Linked DNA regions of Sus scrofa. The protein of the gene in region 1 purifies or fractionates together with the protein of each later gene. This does not show direct contact. Links are inferred from orthologs where the notes say so. Each region holds a gene or a part of one and is shown on either strand. Other genes may lie near its edges.

Region 1 (6,807 bases):
AGTCCGCATCTCCTGGCCGGTCCCCGGCAGGTTTACTATGCGAAGAAGAAGCGGCGGGCCCAGCAGGCGCCACCTCAGGACTCGAGCACCAAGAAGGAGAAAAAGGTCCTGAACCACGGTTACGACGACGACAACCATGACTACATCGTGCGCAGTGGCGAGCGCTGGCTGGAGCGCTACGAAATCGACTCCCTCATTGGCAAAGGCTCCTTTGGCCAGGTGTGGGATGACCCCGACCCCAGCCGTGCTCCAGGGCTTGGGAGGAGCGGGCACCACTGGTGCTGACCCCCACAGCCAGCGGTTCAGTGGCTTCGCGTTTCGTGCTGGGCCACTCACCAGCACGGTCTGGTTTCCCTGTGCCACGGTTTCTGTAAGAGCGCCTCAGTAACAGGCCCTCCACGTAAGGTTGTTGTGTTTTCTCATGTCCAGCGTTGACACGAGTGTCTGACGATTGGCGAGCTTGCAATTTGGAAGTATTAGTATCGTTGATGGTGGTATGGGTGGGTCTCCTTGGCTGGAGGGCGACGAGTGGTACCTGGCTCTGTGCCTCGCGCCCCTTTGCCCTCGTCTTGTGACGCGCCCTGCCCTGGCAGGTGGTGAAGGCCTATGACCATCAGACGCAGGAGCTGGTGGCCATCAAGATCATCAAGAACAAAAAGGCCTTCCTGAACCAGGCCCAGATCGAGCTGCGGCTGCTGGAGCTGATGAACCAGCATGACACAGAGATGAAGTACTACATAGGTGAGGCCCGCCGCAGGGCTGTGTGGGGATGAGCCACCCTCAGTACCCGAGGGGGCTGCTGTCCTCAGGGCAAGGTGTGGTTTGTAATCCCCCACATCAGTGATTTCTCCTGCCACCCTCACAGTTTTTACCCTATTCACATGACAAAGCTGGTCAAAGTTTATTGGGTGCTCTCTAAGGGTCAGGCTCTGTTGTAAGAACTTTACGTAAGTTTTCCACAGCCCCATGGGAAGGAGCATCATTGCCCACAGCTTGGAGATGAAGAAACAGAGGCACTTAGGTGCTGTCACTTGCGTAAGATCGAGGTGTTTGTACTCAGTAGAGCTATGATTTGGCCAGACAGTGGATTCCAGAGCCTCCACTCTAAACGCCTCTGCTGGGTTTTTTCCTCTTTCCTGTACTGCTTCCTCTTAAGAAAAAGAAAGTGGATTTAAGGAGTGTGTTTCTTTTAAAAGGAAAATGCACCTCCTTACAGTAAATGGAAAGCAAGTATCCTTTGTCACAAAATAAACAGAACTGAGACTAAAACAATGTTATAAAATTAAACGGGGAAGTGTAGGGATGGTGTTAAAGACCCATCAGCACCGAATGGAAACTTTCTCTTTGGTTTAAATCAGAAAATGTGAGAGACTTGAAAAGCGAGCTAACTTAACTTCCTGTGTGAATCAGATTATAGACATAAAAACATCCTCAAGAAACAAAACAAAAAACCTCCCAGGGGGTTCCGTGGTGGTTCAGCGGGTGAAACATTCAGCGTTGTCGCTGCAGCCACCGGGTCGCTGCTGTGGCACAGGCACAGGTTCGATCCCTGGCCAGGGAACTTGCTCCTGCCATGGACACAACCAAAAAAAATAAGTAAATGAAATAAAATCCTGGCTAGCAGAACAGTTTGGCCTGTGCTCCAGAAGCAGAGACAAAGATCTCTTTATTATTGGGTACCCCAGGCCGCCACCGGCCCTCTCTCAGCCTTAATTTCTTCTCCTTCGGCCCATTTTCGCCTCCTTGCCAACAGTGCACCTGAAGCGGCACTTCATGTTCCGGAACCACCTGTGCCTGGTGTTCGAGCTGCTTTCCTACAACCTGTACGACCTCCTGCGCAACACGCACTTCCGCGGCGTCTCACTGAACCTGACGCGGAAGCTGGCGCAGCAGCTCTGCACGGCGCTGCTCTTCCTGGCCACGCCTGAGCTCAGCATCATTCACTGCGACCTCAAGCCCGAGAACATCCTGCTCTGCAACCCCAAGCGCAGCGCCATCAAGATAGTGGACTTTGGCAGCTCCTGCCAGCTCGGCCAGCGGGTGCGGCCCGGGGCGGGGCTAGAGGTGTGGGTGTGGCCAGAGAGTGGGCGGGGCCGACGGAGGACCAGGACGGGATTGGATGGTCGCGTGCAGCGGCCCGAGGGTAGTGCTTGGGACAGGGTGTCTGCAAGTACAGAGGGTGGGGTCATTGGGTGAAGAGGGTGATGGAGAGGGCCTTGGGGTGTCCTGCCCGAAGGACAGCGAAGAGTGGAGCCCGAGAGGACGAAGCCCGGGGCCAGTTTTGAGGCTGCCAGAATGGGGGAGGGGGAGGAGGAGTTGGGTGCCTTTGAGCCTGGGGTGGCACTTTGCTCCGTTTGTTTACCTTGTGCTCTTAAAGCTGGGGAGGGAAGAGGACAGGGCTCGTCAGCTTTGCAGCTTCCGGTGAGAAGGCCTTTGAGAAGACGCTGGTAGTGGTTTGAAAGGGTCTGGATTGGAAGGGTGGGAAGAGGCTAGGTCTGCGGATTGCCGGATCCTGGTGACCCATAGGGGCTCAGGGTCAGGCCAGGGGATGGAGATCGGGATCAGACTAGGCCAGCAGAGACTCCTGAAACTGATGAGTGAGGTAGTGGCAGCAATCCTTGGGAGGTTGTGCTGAAAACATCAGGGTTTGAAGACCCCCATCCCCAGTTCTGGAGGCAGGAGGCTTGTGCACAGTCAGTCCTCCTAGGTTTGGGGGTGTCGGGGGTACCCACAGGGAAGGCTGGGACCTCTGACTGTTGCCCTTTCCCCTCCCCCAGATCTACCAGTACATCCAGAGCCGTTTCTACCGTTCGCCTGAGGTGCTCCTGGGCACACCCTATGACCTGGCCATTGACATGTGGTCCCTGGGCTGCATCCTGGTGGAGATGCACACCGGAGAGCCCCTCTTCAGTGGCTCCAATGAGGTGTGCTCCCGAGGAGGGGGTGTGCTGGAGGGGGTGGAGGCCTGGCTGGCTGATGACCCTGACTGCCCGCCTGCTCCCAGGTGGACCAGATGAACCGCATTGTGGAGGTGCTGGGCATCCCACCAGCCCCCATGCTGGACCAGGCACCCAAGGCTCGAAAGTACTTTGAGCGGCTGCCTGGGGGTGGCTGGACCCTGCGAAGGACAAAGGAACTCAGGAAGGTGCGGCCCCTGCCCCACGCCGCTCCTCCCACCCCGGCGGCCCCTCACTCTCTCACACTTGGGGCGCCCTCCCCCTCTCTCCCTGCTGCCTCTCCCTTGTGTCTTTCCCTTCCTTCCTCTGCCCTGTCTTTTCCTTCCTCCCCCGCCCACCCCATCTCTCCTCCTACCCACCCCACAGCTCTTCTTAGCTTCTCTCTTTCTACTTTCTCTCTTGTGCCTCTGTCTCCCCATGTGTGTCTCCCTGCCCCTCCTGCCCACTGACGGCCACTCTCTTGCCCCCCCTCCCACCTCCCCCTGCCAGGATTACCAGGGCCCCGGGACACGGCGGCTGCAGGAGGTGCTGGGCGTGCAGACGGGCGGGCCCGGGGGCCGGCGGGCGGGGGAGCCGGGCCACAGCCCCGCCGACTACCTCCGCTTCCAGGACCTGGTGCTGCGCATGCTGGAGTATGAGCCCGCCGCCCGCATCAGCCCACTGGGGGCTCTGCAGCATGGCTTCTTCCGCCGCACGGCTGATGAGGCCACCAACACGGGCCCGGCAGGCAGCAGTGCCTCCACGTCGCCCGCGCCCCTTGACACCTGCCCCTCCTCCAGCACCGCCAGCTCCATCTCCAGCTCTGGTGGGTGCTCAGTGCCAGATGGGGTAAAACAGGGGTGGGGGCACCTCTGGTTTGGGCTGATCTGGGCAGCCCTGCCACTGAGCCTTCACCTAGAGCTTTGAAACTGCATGACCCTGAAACTCCAGAAGGGGTGGGCAGGCGAGCTCAGACTGGCCCTGACCTGGTCTCTCAAACTGAGCTCAGTTCTGACTCTTTGATGCCCTAAACTGAACTCTGACCCCTGGTCTCAAAATTGGGCCTGATCCTCCCAGTGGGTACCGCCCCAAAGTCTTAGACCTGAGCCTGGGCTGTGAACCAGACTCTGCCACCTGAAGACCCAGCCGCCCCGTCTCCTCGCCTAAGCCCTCTCCTCTCCTTCCCTGGCACTTCCAGGAGGCTCCAGTGGCTCCTCCAGTGACAACCGGACCTACCGCTATAGCAACCGATATTGTGGGGGCCCTGGGCCCCCCATCACTGACTGTGAGATGAACAGCCCCCAGGTAATGGGGCCTTGGGGACTCTGGAGGTGGGTGGTGGAGTATCTGGGGCTTCAGGACCTAGGTCTCCATCACCCACTGTTCCTTTGCTCCTTTAGGTCCCACCCTCCCAGCCGCTGCGCCCCTGGGCAGGGGGTGATATGCCCCACAAGACACATCAGGCCCCTGCCTCCGCCTCATCACTGCCAGGGGCTGGGGCCCAGTTACCCCCCCAACCCCGATGCCTTGGTCGTCCCCCATCACCAACCTCGCCACCACCCCCAGAGCTAATGGATGTGAGCCTGGTGGGAGGCCCTCCGGACTGCTCCCCGCCTCACCCGGCACCTGCCCCCCAGCACCCGGCTGCCTCAGCCCTCCGGACTCGGATGACAGGAGGTCGTCCACCCCTCCCACCCCCTGATGACCCTGCCACTCTGGGGCCTCGCTTGGGCCTCCGTGGTGTACCCCAGAGCACGGCAGCCAGCTCATGACCCTGCCCCCTCCCTGGGGCCCCTCCTGAAGCCATACCCCCCATCTGGGGGCCCTGGGCTCCCATCCTCATCTTTCCCCTTGACTGGAATTGCTGCTACCCAGCCGGGGTGGGTGAGGCCTGCACTGATTGGGGCCTGGGGCAGGGGGTCAAGGAGAAGGGTTCAGGTGCACCCTCCCCACTAAGGACTGGACCCTTGGCCCCCTCTCCCCCTGTGTTTTCTATTTATTGTACCAAAGACAGTGGTGGTCCAGCGGGAGGGGGAGAGTCCCCTCACCCCAGGGCCCTAGGAGGGGGTGGGGGCAGGTAGGGGGAGATGGCCTTGCTCCTCCTCGCTGTACCCCCCAGTAAAGAGCTTTCTCACATGCCCCGCCTGAGCGTTTGCAAGGCCTTGGCTCCCCTCACCCAGCCCTCAGCGGTGTGATGGGGAACGTGTTTGGGGAAGGGGTGCTGGAAGAGCTTTCTCATGTGGAACGCGTCCCCTGGGGACGTTAGCAGTGCTGATGCCAGACCTGGGGCTGTAGGCGGTCTGGGGCTGTGGAATCCTAGACAGAGACCCTGGAAAGCATCCTAGCCCACATTGCCTTATCTAGGGTAAACTAAGAAGGATAAAGGCCCAGCTCTGGCCTGTCTCTGGGAAACATCAGGTTCTGCCCTAGAAAGCCAGGGCTTCCACAGAGTCGGCACAGGCGTGGCTGCTTTTGCCAGGTGTCTAGTGGGTGATGAGTGCTTGTGGTCGGCCTGATTGGAGCCACCTGGGGATTGACAGGCAGTTTACGCCCCCCCCCCCCACGTCCGGCCTTTGGAATCATTACGGAGCAAAACGTTTTGAGAGTTCTCAGGCCAAGGGATAATTACCGGGGTTCCAGGTAAGTGGGCCTGTTTCCATGATAATTTGGAAAACTCTCCCGACCCGCCAATTAAGAGCCGCCAGGTTCAAAAGGTACCGTCCTGACCATTGGGGAGCGGTGCTTCCGGGAAGAGGAATTCTGCTTGGCGATATTGTCCCGGTTTTCGTTGCGGGACTACAAAGGCCAGAATGCTTTTCGCCAACTTGCTTAGGGGCGGGTTCTCAGGCAGCCAATCGGAGTCAGCGGCAGCTGGGGTCCGGATACTTGAGGTGAGCTAGCGAGGAGGAGAGGGCCGTGATTGGGTGGTTTTGGCTTGACTGCGCAAGTGCTGAGGTCTCGAGTGCGGAAGGTGGGTTTGTGTCCCGGGAGCTTGCAAGTTCAGCGTTTGCGGAGCAGGAGGTAAGCGCGGAGGCTTGACGCGGCTCCACCTTGCGGGATATCACCAGCGGCTCTGTCTGGCCTGACTCGCGGGAAGCTCCGCTTCCTTCGGTAGGAGACGGGTAAAGGCCCCGTTACAGCCCTGCATGTGTTCGCTAACCGAGGCGGCGTGGAATGCGGAGAGAACCTAGGCCCGAAACCGGTAGGCAAACCTTGGGCGAGGAGGAGCAGTCTGAGACCTGATACGGAGGGATGTTGGGGGTGGCGGTGATGCAGTGGGACGACTCGCGCAGAGGCAGCAATGAAAAACACCTGGTGTGTGAATGAACTGCAGGTGATTGGGTGTCGGTGGAAATCTTGCAAGTGCTTTGTGATTAGATCGTGGAAGATTTTGGTCATTTAGAGAGCTGGAACTTTGCCCTGAAGGCAGTGAGGGGCCACGAGCGGATTTCCAAAAAGTAGGGGACATAGCCCAATTTGCTGCCCTGAGGGAATAGAGTGATGGGAAAGAAACTAGGGTCTGAGCGCTCAGAGTGGCAGCTGTGGCATGATCCTAGGCAAGAGATGTCAGGTATGGACCAGGGCAGGGGTCTGGGATGGGAGAGGAGTATGAGTGTGGATGGGAGAGACGGAGTTGACAGGCTGTGTGGGAGAGGGAGGCCAAGATAGGCGGAAACGGATCTGTCCACGTAGAACAGTGCCAGGCATATGGGAAATGCTTAATACAATTTTTGGAATGAACAGCTCTAGAAAGCAGGTATTATTATGATCTCCCTTTTGCAAATGAGGTTGCTGATAATAGAGAAAATTAAATAACTTGCCCAAGATCACATAGCTAGGAAGTGGAGAGCTTGGGGTGGGTGGGTGGGTG
Region 2 (7,998 bases), on another chromosome or scaffold:
TATTTCTATGTAAATTAGCAGTACTTTTTGGATTAAAAGAAATCAAGTAACAGTTGTTTGTTTTAGGGCTGTTTTGAGCCTTTCTATTACTACCAAACCAGACTGATAGGATATGCTTCTAAATTGTAGGAAGATAATGGTATCAGAGAACATAAACTAATTTGATATATGTGATGTTTATATTTAGCTAGGTCATTTTGTAGCCCTTAAACTTTATGACCAATTTCTTATTCTTTATACCCAGAACAGATAACCACTTTGCCCCCTTTTATATATCTTACACAAAACTAACCTCTAAGTCCTTATCTTATTTGAAAGCCCCCTCATAAAACTGGACTTTCCTCATGTTTTAATTAAAAAAAATTTTTTTTTTTTGCTTTTTAGGGCTGCACCCTCAGCATATGGAAGTTCCCAAGCTAGGGGTCAAATCGGAGCTGCAGCTGCCAGCCTATGCCACAACCACAGCAACACCAGATCCAAGCCATGTCTTCTGCCTACACCACAGCTCCGGCAATGCTGGATCTTTAACCCACTGAACAAGGGCAGGGATTGAACTTGTATCCTCAGGGATCCTAGTCAGATTCGTTTCCACTGAGCCATAACGGGAACTCCCTAAAAATTTTTTTTCAAATTGCTCATGTTCATCTATAAAATTTTCTTTTTGCTGGAGTTCCCGTCATGGCTCAGTGGTTAACGAATCTGACCAGGAACCATGAGGTTTCGGGTTTGATCCCTGGCCTCGCTCAGTGGGTTAAGTATCTGGCATTGCTGTGAGCTGTGGTGTAGTCCGGCAGCTGTAGCTCCAATTCGAGCCCTAGCCTGGGAACCTCCATACACCTCGGGTGCAGCCCCAGAAAAGACAAAAAAAAATAAATAAAATTTTTTTTTTCTTTTTGCTATTAGTGACCACAGACACTTTTAAATTCAGTCCTCAGGGAGACGGTGTATGCTACAATTAAAACTGACAAATTGGAGTTCCCGTTGTGGCGAAGCAGAAACAACCCGACTAGGAACCATGAGGTTTCAGGTTCTATCCCTGGCCTCATTCAGTGGGTTAAGGATCTGGCATTGCCATGAGCTGTGGTGTAGGTTGCAGACATTATCTTGGATCTGGCTTTACTGTGGCTGTGGCATAGGCCAGGAGCTGTGGCTCCAATTCGATCCCTAGCCTGGGAACTTCTGTATGCCATGGGTGCGGCCCTAAAAAGAAAAAAAAAAACCCAAAAAACAAAACTGACAAATCGTTGGAGTTCCTGTTGTATTGCAATGGGATCAGCAGCCTCCTGGGAGCACTGAGACACAGGTTCAATCCCTGGCTCAGCACAATGGGTTAAGGATCTGGCGTTGCTGCAGCTGTAGCCTAGATAGCAACAGAAGTTCAGATCTGATCCCTGGCCAGGGAACTCCATATACCTCAGAGAGGCCAAAAAAGGGGGGAAAAAAAAACCTGACAAATTGTTTCTTTGTTCCTTTTTATTAGTTTTTGAAATAGGCCTAGGAATTTCTCTCTCAGGAAACTGTTAAGATTAAATTTGTCTGGCGTTCCCACTGTGGATCTGTCATTAAGGATCTGTCATTGCCACAACTCTGGTGTAGGTTCCAGCTGCGGCTCAGATTTGATCCCTGGCCTGGGAACTTCCATATGCCGGAGTGCAGCCCCCCCCAAAAAAAATTAAAGTTGTGAAATGAATCTAATACCAAGTACTTTCTTTCTGCCAATTCAGGTGGCAGACTTCTCTCCCCAAAACCCTAACCATACATGTTTGAATCTAGATTTTGCTCCCTACTGGATACAGAACTTTTTGATGAATTTGAAAAAGAGATCTGATACAGTTAGCTCCCATCAGCTAATGGATGAGATTAAAGGCATGGATAAAACCAGATTACAAGTTATCTGTGAAACTTCTGAGGAGCCACTTCCAGAGCTACACTAACATGAAATCCTTTGAAATATATCCAATGGGAGTAGTAAATAAACTATAAATTATGATGCAATGGATTTGAATTTTCAGAAATTTCTTGTGTGAAAGGCAGTTTTTCTCACAGCACTTGATAGGGGAAATTGCCAGTTTTTTCAGGTTGCAGACTTTTAAATGCCTATCTTCAATTCAGTTCCATTTTCAGTTCATCTTATGTTGTTGCCAAATTAATCTTTTTAGAACACAAATGTTACTCCCATTCAAAAAAACTTCAATAGCTTCCCACTGTCATAGAAATAAGTCAAAAACAATTAGCCTGATAATTAGTGCCACCATTATTTATGACCTACCTTCCCTCTACACTCTGGATTACCTAGGTCAGAGATTGGTAAACTTTCTGCAACCACTAATCTTTGCATGGCCTTCAAGAATGATTTTTACATTTTTAAAGGGTTGAAAAAGAAAATCAGAGTTCCCATAGTGGCTCAGCAGAAACGAACCTGTCTAGTATCCATGAGGAAGCAGGTTCTATCCCTGGCCTCACTCAGTGGGTTAAGGATCTGGCGTTACTATGGCTGTGCTGTAGGCCGGGCAGCTGCAGCTCAGATTTCAACCTCTAGTCTGGGAACCTCCATATGCCGCGGGAGCAGCCCTAAAAAGAGGCTACCAGTGGAATTGGAGTTGTAGCTGCTGGCCTTCACCACACCACTGCAACTTGGGGTCTGAGCCTTGTCTGCAACCTACACCCCAGCTGACCGCAAAGCTGGATCCTTAACCCACTGAGCAAGGTCAAGGATCAAACTCGCATCCACATGGATCCTAATCCAGTTCGTTTCTGCTGAGCCAGGAAAGGAACTCCAGACTCAAACATCTTGATGTATTTTGTTTTCCGAAATAAGCAGTAGGCTCCTTAGAATGACAGTATTTTTTTTTTTTTTTTTTTTAAAGGGCTACGTGGGCAGTATATGGAAGCTGCCAGGCTAGGGGTCAAATCAGAGCTGTAGTTGCTGGCCTACCCACAGCCACAGCAAGGCCAGATCTGAGCCGCAATCTGCAACCTACACCACAGCTGATGGCAGCTCCCCACCCTTAACCCACTGAGGCTAAGGATCGAACCCGCATCCTCATGGATAATCCAGTTTGTTATTGCTGAGCCACAATGGAACTCCAGAATCACAGTATTTGAGAGCTGGGGTTTAACTTTCTTTAACAGGATTGGAGCCTAGGGTCCAATGTCTGTAGTTCCCAACACCTGCCTTGCATAGCATAGACACTAATTAATGCTGCATATGAAGCTTCCAAACACTCTCCAAAATGTCTTACGGCACTTTCCTTAAACCTCCTCTGTGTCCTAACAAGCAGCGTATTGATGTATTTCTCCCTTACTTCCCGGCTAAGCGATTTCTAGAGTGGACAAGTTACCATTTTGATTCTCTTGGTTAGTAACACCCATTAGCACCTAACCAGGTAACAGCTGAAAAAAGATGAGGTTTCCCCCCTCCCCTACAGGATCAGCCTGGAGACTCCAAGTGTCCTGGTCTCTCCATTCCCGCAAACTTAGACTCATTTAATAACTTTCCTCTCGCATCAAAGCAGGTGCGAATGCCGGTCAGCCAAAGACCTCGAATTTCCGCGGCCCCTGGACAGGTTCTCCACCCCTCAGAAAGACGGCGAGGAGGACCCAGGCCTGTGACTCAGGTTAGCCCTTTCCCTCAAATATCACCAGCGGAGGCTTTGCCCATCTTTTTGCCGTAGACTGTTTTCTCAGTGAGCCGATGTACTCCCTCAAGTAACCGATCCCCTATTTCACTTTTCAAGCCTCCAGACTCTGCGTCCATCCGCCTCGGCCTTCCTCCCTCGGTTAACGCGACAGTTTCTCGGGGAGATCGCCCAAGGCGCGTGGCAGGGCGGTTAGGCGACCAACGGTTTCCACCGCGAGGAGGGGGGAGCGGGCAAAGCGGCGGGAACCAGTCGAGCCGGAGGCAGCCGACGTGGGGCGGGGCCAGCCCCGGGAAGGATCGCGAAGGAGCTGGGAAGCCCCGCCCTTTCCGTAGATATCTCTAGAAAGCCGCGCAGGAGCCCGAAAACAAAGAGTGCGCACGCGCGGCGGCTGGGCCCGGGCATTTTGCTGCGTCACCAGCCGCCGCCCGGCCTCACCACCCCTCGCTCGCACGCACGCACGTTCATTCTCCGTTCTCGCGCCCCTTTTCCTACACTTTCCTTTTCTCCCCGACCGGAGGAGTCGCTCTGCCCGCGCGGTGCATTCTGGGAACCCAGGTCTAGCCCGCCGCGCCGCCGCCGTCGCTTGAGGGAAAAGCGAAAAGAGGCCGCAATCGGGGAGAGGACGCCAGAGTCGCCACCGGAGAGGAGTCGACTGCCTACCAGCTGCCGCCGGAGAGGCCCGCCCACCCGTTCGCCCGTCCCCTTGCCCCGTTCACGATGTGAGTGCGACACGCCACCCAGGGAAGGTCGCCCTGGAGGGAGGCCGAGGCCGCGCGGGGGGGTGCCGGGAAGCCATCCCTTCCCCTCCCCCGCTTTCGGCTCCCTCGGCTTTTTCCCCCTCGGTAGCATTCGTTCTTGCTTGGGGGTGGGAGGTCCAGTATCCTTGTTCCGGTTACCGTTGGCGGGTGGAGGACATTTTTCCTCCAGATGTCCGCTTCCCCCATCTCTAAACCTTCCCTTTGCTTCCCCGTGCCGGAAACCCCACTTTCCCCCTTCGGCAGTGAGGGCTGCTCCCAACTCTTCGTAACTTAGCCTTAGGCCTTAATCTCCTGTGAGCTTTTGGCCACGCGGGCGCCTCGGAGGCGTGGACCCTCGTGGGCTGCCACTCCGCTCCTAGCGACCTAGGTCTGCTTCTGCCGCTGTGTGATGCTGGGACCAGGCCCGGGGACAAGTGCACCTGCGGTGGGTCCTACCCCACAGCTGCTGGTGCTCTTCGTAAGGCACCACGCGGCCCTCCACTGCGAGCGACAGGTACTGCTAGGCAACTGGAGGGAGGGAGGCCATGCTGTCGCCGCAACTTACTTCCCTCTCGGTGTCGTGATTGCCAGAGTATGGGTGTTTCCAGGCTTCTTCTTAACTCAGTCTCGCGAAGGGAGTGGAGGTTGCCAAAACTCAGCCGTTTCCCTGGTAGCGAGGCTTTACAATTGAGCAGGGAGTTCTGCACTTGTTAGAGTTGAAAGATACTTAGGGATATTTTCTGTGAAACTTTAGGTGAGGTTTCGTTATCCTATTTTAATTTAAGGATGAAACAGGTAGGTAATTGCCTTTTTGTTGCCTTAAGTTTGTTTACGTGGGGGTAATTTCAGATCTTTTAAAAGTCTTAGTTTTATGATAAAGGAAAACATTTTAACCGAGTGCGGTCTCTTGCATTGCCATTCCCAGCTTTACATTCTTTTCAGGAAAAGCCTTACCTTTTCAGATGTGAGAACTGCCTATTTTACAGTTTTTTGGTACCACGTACTCCTGAAAGTTACCTATGGAGATCAATTGAGGGGAAGAATTTTTATTTCTATAAAAAGTAATGGATTTTCAAGGGTTTACCTAGTAAAATGGTGATATTTGTGGTGAGTATATTGAATTAGATGTCTAAATGAATAAGGATACACTGTAGCCAATTGATGGAGAAGAAGGTTTGAGAAGAATGCATGTATTACTGTAAAATGACATGTTAGAATTTTGGAAGGATTTCCCCCATCCCAAGAAGTGGTATGTAATAGAAGACTTTAATCTGTGTAAAAGAACTTGTACTTTTCTTTTTGAAATTTCTATTCCAAATAATGTAGCAGGATTGTCATTTGTGAGAAAATGAATCTGGAGATAAAGCATTACCAACTTTTAGTAAACTAATGTAGCGGAACAAGAAATATCTTTATATGAAGAGATAACATGTTTAATACGGTTTGAAGTAGAAACACTTTTCAGAGATCATGTAGAATTGGTAAATAGGTAAGAAATGTTAAGTTATATAAAGAACTCAATGAAAAGTCTAACAATCAGTATTCCAAAAAGCAATCTATAATTAGAAGAATGCTATTTTGAAAATGAGTGTTTTGAAGAGACCAGGTAAATTTTACTCTGTTTAGTCAATATATGACATCTTGCAAATTCTTTAGGGGATCTTATTAATTAATGACTGAATGAATTTACAAGATGAATATTACCAGTCAGTTACTTGAGCTGGAGAAGACTTTTATTTTTGTTGTTGTCTTTTCTAGGGCCGCACCCCAAGCATATAGAGGTTCACAGGCTAGGGGCCTAATTAGAGCTGTAGCTGCCAGCCTACATCAGGGCCACAGCAACTCGGGATCTGAGCTGCGTCTGCACCCTACACCACAGCTCACAGCAACGCTGGATCCTTAACCCACTGAGCAAGGCCAGGGATTGAACCCGCAACCTCATGGTTCCTAGTCTCGGGTTCGTTAACCACTGAGCTACAGCGGGGACTCCGGAAAAGACTTCTAATGGGTCATCCAGCTCTAGAGAGAATCTGGCTGATGAAGATTCATTTTGTTGGGTTCTATAAACTTTTTTTTTAGCTGTGGAGAGACTTTTTGCTTTTTAAGGCTGCACCTGTGGCATCTGGAGGTTACCAGGCTAGGGGTTGAATCAGTTACAGATGCTGGCCTACGCCACAGCCATAGCAAATGCCAGGCCTGAGCCTGGTCTGCTGCCTACACCACACAGCTCATGGCAATGCCATGTCCTTAACCCACTGAGTGAGGCCAGGGATCGAATCTGCAACCTCATGGTTCCTAGTCGGATTCGTTTCTCCTGGGCAAGGCTGGGAACTCCTGGAGAGACTTTTATGCTGGACATCTTGAAGGTTTTAGAGTGTATTTTTTTATCATGTGATTGCTCTTCAGTCATGATTTTCTAGGTAGATTTCTTTTAATCAAGTTTTTAAGTTTTGTCCAATAGTTTGCATAAAAGCTCTCTCAACTGGAGAAGGCTGGGATTTTAGGACTGCTCCTTTTAAGACCAGCTCAAATCCCCTGCAGGGGGTGCTACTTTATCTCCTTTCTTTTTTTTTTTTTTTTTAGTTATTTTAACTCTAATTTTAGGTTGGACCTATTTATCTAATAACACGAGATGTAAGATAAAATGGTTATGAGCTATTTGAGGTCATTCTTTTTGGTATCTTGTACTTAAAGTAACGAATGGTCAGAGACAAACAGCATCGCTGGCATTGGTTAAAATCTTACTTTGCTTTACTAAGTGAAGTAAGTCAGAAAGAGAAAGTCAAATACCATATAATATCACTTATATCTGGAATCTAATATATAGCATAAACGAACCTGTCCACAGAAAAGAAAATCATGGACAGGGAGAACAAACTTGTGGTTGCCAAGGGGGAGGGATTGGGATAGACTGGGAATTTGGGGTTAATAGATGCAAACTATTGCCTTTGGAATGGATAAGCAATGAGATCTTGCTGTATAGCATTGGGAAATGTAGCTAGTCACTTATGATAGAGCGTGATAATGTGAGAAATGAACATGTATACATGGATGTGTGGCTGGGTCACCTTACTGTAGAGTAGAATATTGACAGAACACTGTAAACCAGCTGTAATGAAAGGAAAAAAAAAACTTTGAGATAGGAGTTCCTGTCGTGGCACAGTGGTTGCGGGTTTGGTCCCTGGCCTTGCTCAGTGGTTAAGGATCTGGTGTTGCTGCGAGCTGTGGTGTAGGTTGCAGACGTGGCTTGGATCCCATGTGGCTGTGGCTGTGGCGTAGGCTGGTGGCTATATCTCTGATTAGACCCCTAGCCTGGGAACCTCCGTATGCCTCAGGTACAGCCCTAGAAAAGGCCAGAAAAAAAAATTTTTTTTGAGATGTATAAAAGATGAGTGAAACTAGTCTTAAAGAATCTTTTACTTGTTAGAAATGTTTAGTTTTTCCTGAATGTAGGGGATGCATAATGCCATTATTAAAGCTCTAGTAGTCTTCTGACTACTATTCTTAGAGTTTAGGAGTTCCCACTGTGGGTTAAGAAAAACAATAAATTCATAAAGGGACTATTGTTGATAACTTCTGAATATAGTATATGAGGTTGTATACTATTAGAGAATATCGTA
Region 3 (8,010 bases), on another chromosome or scaffold:
TCCCCAGGGGGTTGCCTGGAGGCGGCTTCCTGTCTTCCCCCACCCCTAATTTGGTCTCAGTGGGTGTCCAGCCCTGGGTCTCCATGGCATGAGAGAAGCTGTGTCTTCTCTGATCCTCCCTTGTGGTCTAGTCATGACAGGCTGCCTGGACAGGTGGTGGCAGAGCCCAGACTGTGACCGTGACCCCCACGTCGGGTCAAAAGCAGCAGGACACAGCTCCCATCAGGTCCCATCCCTGAAGTCAGGGTGGCTGGGGAGGCTCCCCACACTGCGTGCCTCCCTCTTTCTTGCCCCTTCCAGACCCCAAGCTATGGTGACTCAGATGAATGGAGCCTGAAGCGCAGCAACTCCTCCTCCAAGCTGCCCCCTCTGGCTATGGACATAGACAAAACTCTGACACTGTGTTCTGAAGAGGAGCAGCCTGAGGGGCTCCTGTCACCCCTGGCCTCCCCTCTGCATCCCCTGGAGGTACAGGGACTCGTCTGTGGCCCCCGCTTTCCCTCCCTCCCTGAACACCTCAGCTCTGTCCCCAAACAGCTGGAGGTCCAGAGACATGGCTCAGATCCTGGATTTGCAGGGAATTAGAGCCACTGAACCCCAAGATAAAAGACGCCATGAAGGAACTGAAGGTGGGTGAGGTGACAGTTAAGGATTTAGGGACGCCTCTGAGAACCATTCACCTAGAGTAGCTACAAATGGCCAGTCCAGGTGACCCAGGATGGCATGGATGAAGAGGCTCAGGACTTTTCTGACACCCCCCCCGCCCCCCCGCCACCGCCGGGGTTGTTTAGGTGGCCGGCCTGGTGGGGGTGGGTGAGCTTAGATGTGGAGGTAGCTTATGGGACAGAGGGGCCTGTGAAGAAAGGAGACACTTCTGATCTTCTGTGTGACGGCCTTGCTCTGTGCTGGGTACAGTCACCTCCCCGCTCAGAACTCTCCCCACCACACAGCCCAGCCCCCATGGCTGGTCAGGACCTCCTGCTGAGAGCCTGTGAACCAGCTGGAGGTGAAAGTGTCCTCTGCAGAGGACTCAGCAGGGCACAGAGCTCCAGCTCCCAGCCACTCTGCCCCTGATGGTTCTGTGATGACCTTGGGACCTAGTGGGCAGTGCCGCATCTCACAGCTAATAAAGTCTGCACATTTCATGTCGGGCTGGGCGTGTAACGTTCCTGAGGGTCCTTGATTGGGCTGTAACTCTGCCAGCTGTGGTCGCCTCCAAGTCCTTCTCCCAAGGAGCTGTGTGTTGGGGACCTGAATGTGGCTGCGGGGGGCTTTTAGGCACACTGGGGTGAAGGGAAGCAGAGCAGTGCCGGCTTGGTGGCCATAGGGAATCGTGACCACAGCCAGCACTTTTAAGGCACTCACTCTGTGTTTGTGGGCACCAGGCTGACTGTGCTGCAGATACGAGTTCATCAACTCTTTATAACAACCTTACAGGGCCGGTATTATCATCCCCAGTTTAGAGGTGATGAATCTGAAGCAGAGAGAGACTAAGAACTTTACCCAAGCAAGAGGGGGAACTTTTTGGGGGTTGTTCTGTTCCTGACCTAATTGCTGATTACATGACTGCGTCTCAGGTTGTAAAAATATGTACAGTTTCTATGTGTAAATTATACTTTGATTTAAAATAGAGTATTTTCCAAAAATATAGGCAAAGGAGACATAATTTCAACCCAGATGGTCTTGTTTGAGAACACATGCAGTTAAGTATCCCACTGAAATGGACTGTTGTCAAAAAGTCACTGGTCCTGTCCTTTTTCAGTACTCCCTAAAAAAATTTTGAAAATGTATCCCCCAGCCCACATTTTTAGTTAACATCTGAAGTATTTTACTGATGTGCTTAAAGGGTTGCAAAGGACATAATTTACAGAGTATTGTAAATATTGACTTTTTATAACATGTTTAATTTATATTGCTTTATTTCAATCCCAGTAACAGTGATTAAGAAGCCAAAATCATTCATTTTAAAAACAGAACAAGCTCTTCTTTAACGTCGTTCCTTTTTTTGTACTCATCATTTCACTCTATTCCATCCGCAGTTTATCCAACATGTAATTTATTTCCATGCTTGAAAGTCTACTACTAATAACCTTATCATATCTACTTGTAACACATATATATAAATTGAAATTTTAAAATTGTTTCTAACCTAAGACTTTAAGGGTTACACTTATTAGTACTGAGTTGTTCAAAACAACATAAATATCTCTATTTAAATTTATTTATTTATTTATTTTTGGTCTTTCTGCCTTTTCTAGGGCCGCTCCTGTGGCATATGGAGGTTCCCAGGCTAGGGGTCTCATCAGAGATGTAGCCGCCGGCCTACACCAGAGCCACAGCAACTCAGGATCCGAGCCATGTCTGCGACCTACACCACAGCTCACGGCAACGCCCGATCCTTAACCCACTGAGCAAGGCCAGGGATAGAACCCGCAACCTCATGGTTCCTAGTCGGATTCGTTAACCACTGAGCCACAACGGGAACTCTTCTCTATTTAAATTTTTATAGAAACTAAAATTTTACTGGAAATACAGCTCTTAAGAGAGGGTATTTTCCTCTCAATTAGTCCATGTATGTGAATGAATATTATTTTTTTATTAGAGGAAGACATAAACACAGAAAACTTGTTCACCTACGGAAGTGGATAGGACTGTGAGGAGTTTGTTACATTAAACAGTGTCACTCAGTCACTCAATTCTTTGAATTCTTTCTTTTTTTTTTTTTGGCCACCTGGAAGCACATGGATATGGAGTTCCCTAGCCAGGGATCAGATCCCAGCTGCGGTTGCCGTCTACACTGCAGCTGTGGCAACCCTGGATCCTTAACCCACTGTGTGGGGCTGGTGATCAAACGTGCGTCCTTCTTTCTGAGTTTTCTGTTAACAATCACTTTTATCACTAAAAACTATATATATATAGTCTTTTTAAGGTCACATGTGCCCTAACTATTGAGGTTCCCACGATAAGGATCGAATCAGAGCTGTAGCCGCTGGCCTACACCACAGCTCATGGCAATGTCGGATCCTTAACCCACTGAGCGAGGGCAGGGATCGAACCTGCGTCCTCATGGATACTAGTCAGATTTGTTTCCATTGAGCCACAACAGGAACTCCACTAAATACTATATTTAATGATATATTATCTAACAATTCAATACAATTTTTTGCTTAGTTTTGTTGAAAGCAAATTATTGGAAACCATTTAAATTATAAAGAGATGTTACCTAGATTCTGACCCTTCCCCATTTCAAATTCAAGACACTTATATATTTAAGGCTAGATTAGCATTTGCCTTGGGACGCTCGTGGGAAAAGATGGAAACAGAAGCTGACAGCCACGCTGGCGGGGTTGCTGCCTGCTGAAGACCAATCCTCTAATTCCAAGCACTTCTAGAATGGCCAGGAAAGGTTGACTGAAGCTGGCCTGGTCCTGAGTAGAGCGGCGTGTCCGCCGTCTGCCCTTGGTACGCTGGGAGAACAACATTCCAATTTAAAGGAGGCGTTGGCGAAGCAGGGAAATAAAGGGGTTTCCCTTCGGCGCAGGCCCGTCCGCAAGGCCCGGGAGCTCAGTGCCGCGAAACGCAGCAGGCCCTCTCGTAAGGCAGACTTTTCATTTTCACTCGCCAACGTGGAGAATCCGGTCAGAATAGCAGCTGCAGTGGGGAAGTCAGAGCAGTCACGTAAGAGGTTTCACTCTCAGAGACTTGGCCTAGAACTTGGAGGCCTGCTGCACAGTACGCGAGCTTTTAAGCCGCCCACACCCCGATTCACCCGCACTGCGCCGTTATCTCTCTGACTGACATCTTTGTCAGCCAATGACCTTTGTGGCTGTGAAAGCGCCTGCCCCCTGGAGTTGGGCAGAGCAAGTAATCGGAATGACAACCATACGCACCAATAGCAAGGAGGTTTCAGAAGCTACGGGTACACTAGCCAATGAGGAGAAGGAGCCGTTCGAAAGGACGTGTCAGGTAGCCAACGGCCGGCGCCGCTGAGGGGGTCGCGTGGCTTCCGTTCTAGAGGGTGGGGCGGGGTCTCAAACGGAAGGTGGTTGTTGTCCGAGCCGAAGCAGGTTTGAAAGTGGGGGTCGGGCTCGGCTGTCGTTGTCTGTAGCAGCGGCCCCGCTTCCGGGCTAGGCTGTCCGTACCCGCCCCCGCCCCGCCTCCCTTCGGACCCCTCCGTCCCAGGCCTGACTCCCTGCCCGATTCGCGCCCCGCCCGCCGCAGCTCGCTGCCGTCCCGGCCCGCACTGCGGCCCCGCCGCCGCCACTATGTCCCTGCACGGCAAACGGAAGGAGATCTACAAGTATGAAGCGCCCTGGACCGTCTACGCCATGAACTGGAGCGTGCGGCCCGACAAGCGCTTTCGCCTGGCGCTGGGCAGCTTCGTGGAGGAGTACAACAACAAGGTGGGCCGGGCAGGGGCTCGGAACCCAGCTAGAGGGACGCGGGCACCTGGAGCGCCCTTTCCCGGCCGGAGCTCAGACCCCAGGACCCTCCTGCGGACCTGCCTTAGCGCCACGGAGCGGTTCCTCTGTGTCTGGCCCTGTGCAGAGGGTTTCGCTCTCGTCTCATTTAATCCTTGCAGCATTCCTGGGTAGTCAGGAGTGTAGTTACCCGCATTTTACCGATGGGGGAACTGAGGCACCGTGTTGTGACTTGCCCCAGTCAGACAGCTATTGCGTGACGGAAACAGGTCTCAAACCCAAGTTTGCAGCGCAGAGCTGTGCCGTTTATCACGCCTATCCCCTCCTCTCCTGCAGCTTCAGTTGGGGGGCGGAGGAGGGATGAGGGAGTGATGGCTGCGAAGAAGATGCTGGAGCCCCGTGGTCCTTCTCCCCTGGCCACACTAGATTTCTATTAGGACTGTTTAGCAGGTTTCACCGCCCCCTGTTCCCTGGATTTCCCCAGCCTTTCTGCCGGGATTGCCATTGCTATTGCTGCCTCATATTCGTCCTCTTCAAAGCTATCTCTTTTTGGAAATCTTGCCAATGGCTATTGTCTTCTGCATAGAAAAGGGTGATGCTTGCCATTTGTTTTCTTGGCATCTTTCATGCTGATACAGACAAGTAACCTGGAGTAGAAGTAAGTCTTTCTGGACATCCACAATTTGAGAATCCTTTTTAGAAGCGCGGTTAATAGGAGGAAGCTTGAAGCTGGCAGTGACACATAAATTTAGTTTTGGAAGTTGAATAAGTTAGTGGAAAGAATTTTCTTTCCATTACTCCGTAGTTTGCCATTTATTGTATTAGAGTAAGCGTTGTGATTGACTGATAGTGATCAGAGCAACTGAGAGCCATGCTTAGTGGTGTTTAAAACCTGTACACCTGCTTGACACCAGGAACAGTCTAATTTAAGAATAAATTGTGGGCAGAGGCATGGTGCAGGGGAAAAGGCCAGGTGCTCTAGGATTAGGCCTTGTCTAGTCCACTGATTAGCTGTGGGACACTGCATAGGTAAGTTTTATTATTTCTGACCCACAGTTTGTTGTAGGAAAGAAGTCCTTTAGAAAACATTTGAGCATTGTAATTTTGTTTGCAGGTTTTCAGGAGCACATCTTAGAATTAGATCTTAAGGAGTTCTGGTTGTGGCTCAGCAGTGACGACCCGACTAGGATCCATGAGGAGGCTGGTTGGATCCCTGGCCTTGGTCAGTGGGTTAAGGGTCTGGCGTTGCCAGGAGCTGTGGTGTAGGTCACAGACACAGCTTGGATCCCAAGTTGCTAGAGCTGTGGTGTAGGCCGGCAGCTGCAGCTCCAATTTGACCCCTGGCCTGGGAACTTCCATATGCTGTATGTATGCCTTCCCTCCCCCCAAAAAAATTAGGTCTTAAATTTTTTGTAATCCTTTTTGAGAAATTGATGAGAACAATGGACTCTTGTTGCCCAGACATCCCACATACACACTTTACAAACAAATCCCTGAAAGTATGCACTGATCTCGGAGTCCACGATTTCCCACAGAAACCAGAGAGTCCTGAAAAGACATAGCTTTATTTTTCTTCTGGAGCCTCTTTCTTCCTTATGGCACATAGTGGACCGCAGAGCTGCTAAAGTGAAATTCAGGGTCCTGATGTGTAAACTGAATTAGTAAAGTTGAGAGCACTAGAACTGTTGTTTAAGAATACATGTTTAAACAAAGGGGGGGTGGTAGTAAAATACATCTTTCAAAGGGCTTGAGTCTTTTCACACAGACGGATGGATTTTTTTTTCTTGCAAGGTCAATTTAGGTAAGCAGTAGCAGCCCCATTTCTAAGAGATGAGAAACCAAGCCACAGTTAGGCTGCTGGTAGAATCAGTGGAGTAATTGGTGTCAAACTTTGGTTGCAGGAACTCTGCCCCCAAATTTATCCTTTCAATTATGGAGCTCCTTCTTTGTGCCAGGCACGCAGGCAGTGTGGTTTTAGTCGTAAAATGCTAATTGATAATCCCAGTAGTAATAGAATAAGCAGTTACCTCTGTCTTAACTCACTTGCGTAATGTGGGCAACGTGGTGTCTTAAAATGGTTTTTGTGTCCCCTGCCCCAGGTCAGAGTTCTTGTGTGTGTATATGTGTTTGATGGACAGCTTTGGCAGTCGGAAGCCAATAGACCTCTGTTCATAATTATGTTTTCAAATGCATAAAATACATGGGATTACAAAGGAAACCAACCATATGACTCATAGTTACTAAAAACATTTTTTGGAGTTTTCTCATGGTGCAGCGGGTTAAGGATCCGGTGTCGTCACTGCATCGCCTTGAGTTGCTGCTATGGCTCTGGTTCAATCTGATCCCTGGCCCTAGAACTTTCGAGTGCCGTGAGCATAGCAAAAGGCAAAACTATTTATTTTTTTTAGAAGTAGGTTAGAAGAGGTTTAGTGAATATACTGCTAAGGGAAGCAGTGGGCAGGAGAGCTTGTCTGTCCTGGGCTAGTGGTTTGGGCTCTTTTTATTAAGGGAACTGGCTTCTGACTGTCCTGTCTCAGTTTCCCCCATGTAAATAAGGGATTGAAACATGGCAGTTCTGAAAAAAAATTTTTTTTAAGTGGTAATGCGTACTTTTAAATTAACTCATTAAATCACATCAACCATTTTAATCATTAATTTTGAAGTACCCATAAGGGTAAACAGCATCTCAGTATATTCACTGTAATGTGATAGGAAAAACATCGGTGATTTCTATTGGTGACAAATCAGATATGGATGCTGCTGTGAGTAGCTGCCTCCATTTATAATGGAAGGAAATGCTACATTTCAGCTAGAGGTTGTGAAAATATAAAAGTGATTTTCCAACTCATCTTCGTCAACATTAAGATGAGAAACCCCGCTGTAGAGGATTTGTGTGTAGGAGCTGGTGGCCAGTAAATCTCACTTTATCAAGCTCAGTTTTGGAGAAACTTTGCCAAGAAGGTGCAAGAGTTCATAATTTAGAGGAATTTAAAAATTATTGGTTAGGAGTTCCCCTCGTGGTACAGTGGAAACGAATCCAACTAGGAACCATGAGGTTGTGGGTTGGATCCCTGGCCTTGCTCAGTGGGTTAAGGATCTGGCTTTGCCGTGAGACGTGGTATAGATTGCAGAGGTGGCTCGGATCTGGCGTTGCTGTGGCTTTGGCATAGGCCGGTGGCTACAGCTCCAATTGGACCCCTAGCCTGATACAGCCCTAAAAAGACCAAAAAAAAAAAAAAAAGTAAAAATTATTGGTTAAAATTCTCAAACCTTGGAGTTCCTGTTGTGGCTCAAGGGTAACAAATCTGGCTAGTATCCGCGAGGACTTGGGTTCTATCCCTGGCCTCACTCAGGCAGGGGGTTAAGGATCTGGCATTGCCATGAGCTGTGGTGTAGGTCTCAGATGCGGCTCAGATCCTGTTACTGTGGCTGTGGTGTAGGCTAGCATCTACAGCTCCGATTCAACCCCTCGCCTGGGGACCTCCATATGCTGCAGGTTCGGCCCTAAAAAGACCAGAAAAAAAAAGGAGTTCCTGTCGTGGTGCAGTGGTTAACAAATCCGACTAGGAACCATGAGGTTGCGGGTTTG

Evidence for each region. Proteins that work in one complex are often made in the same cells at the same time.
Region 2: the proteins of DYRK1B (region 1) and PTGES3 purify together in Homo sapiens (affinity purification with mass spectrometry; 3 studies listed by BioGRID and IntAct, with this or other methods). This does not show direct contact. The link is inferred for Sus scrofa from reciprocal best matches to the Homo sapiens genes DYRK1B and PTGES3.
Region 3: the proteins of DYRK1B (region 1) and DCAF7 purify together in Homo sapiens (affinity purification with mass spectrometry; 10 studies listed by BioGRID and IntAct, counting the BioPlex papers as one, with this or other methods). This does not show direct contact. The link is inferred for Sus scrofa from reciprocal best matches to the Homo sapiens genes DYRK1B and DCAF7.

What each region holds. Positions count from the first base shown.
Region 1 is NC_010448.4:48,304,111-48,310,917, reverse strand, and holds the end of DYRK1B (dual specificity tyrosine-phosphorylation-regulated kinase 1B), read left to right. Parts: intron 1-30; coding exon 31-219; intron 220-593; coding exon 594-741; intron 742-1,753; coding exon 1,754-2,040; intron 2,041-2,777; coding exon 2,778-2,924; intron 2,925-3,004; coding exon 3,005-3,145; intron 3,146-3,446; coding exon 3,447-3,762; intron 3,763-4,134; coding exon 4,135-4,241; intron 4,242-4,336; coding exon 4,337-4,708; 3' UTR 4,709-5,081; downstream 5,082-6,807.
Region 2 is NC_010447.5:22,017,703-22,025,700, reverse strand, and holds the start of PTGES3 (prostaglandin E synthase 3), read left to right. Parts: upstream 1-4,001; 5' UTR 4,002-4,358; coding exon 4,359-4,360; exon of another isoform or gene 4,361-4,892; intron 4,893-7,998. UniProt on the Homo sapiens protein: Cytosolic prostaglandin synthase that catalyzes the oxidoreduction of prostaglandin endoperoxide H2 (PGH2) to prostaglandin E2 (PGE2).
Region 3 is NC_010454.4:15,347,000-15,355,009, reverse strand, and holds the start of DCAF7 (DDB1- and CUL4-associated factor 7), read left to right. Parts: upstream 1-4,013; 5' UTR 4,014-4,265; coding exon 4,266-4,403; intron 4,404-8,010. Other genes in the region: KCNH6 (potassium voltage-gated channel subfamily H member 6), read left to right, coding at 301-585. UniProt on the Homo sapiens protein: Involved in craniofacial development. Acts upstream of the EDN1 pathway and is required for formation of the upper jaw equivalent, the palatoquadrate. The activity required for EDN1 pathway function differs between the first and second arches.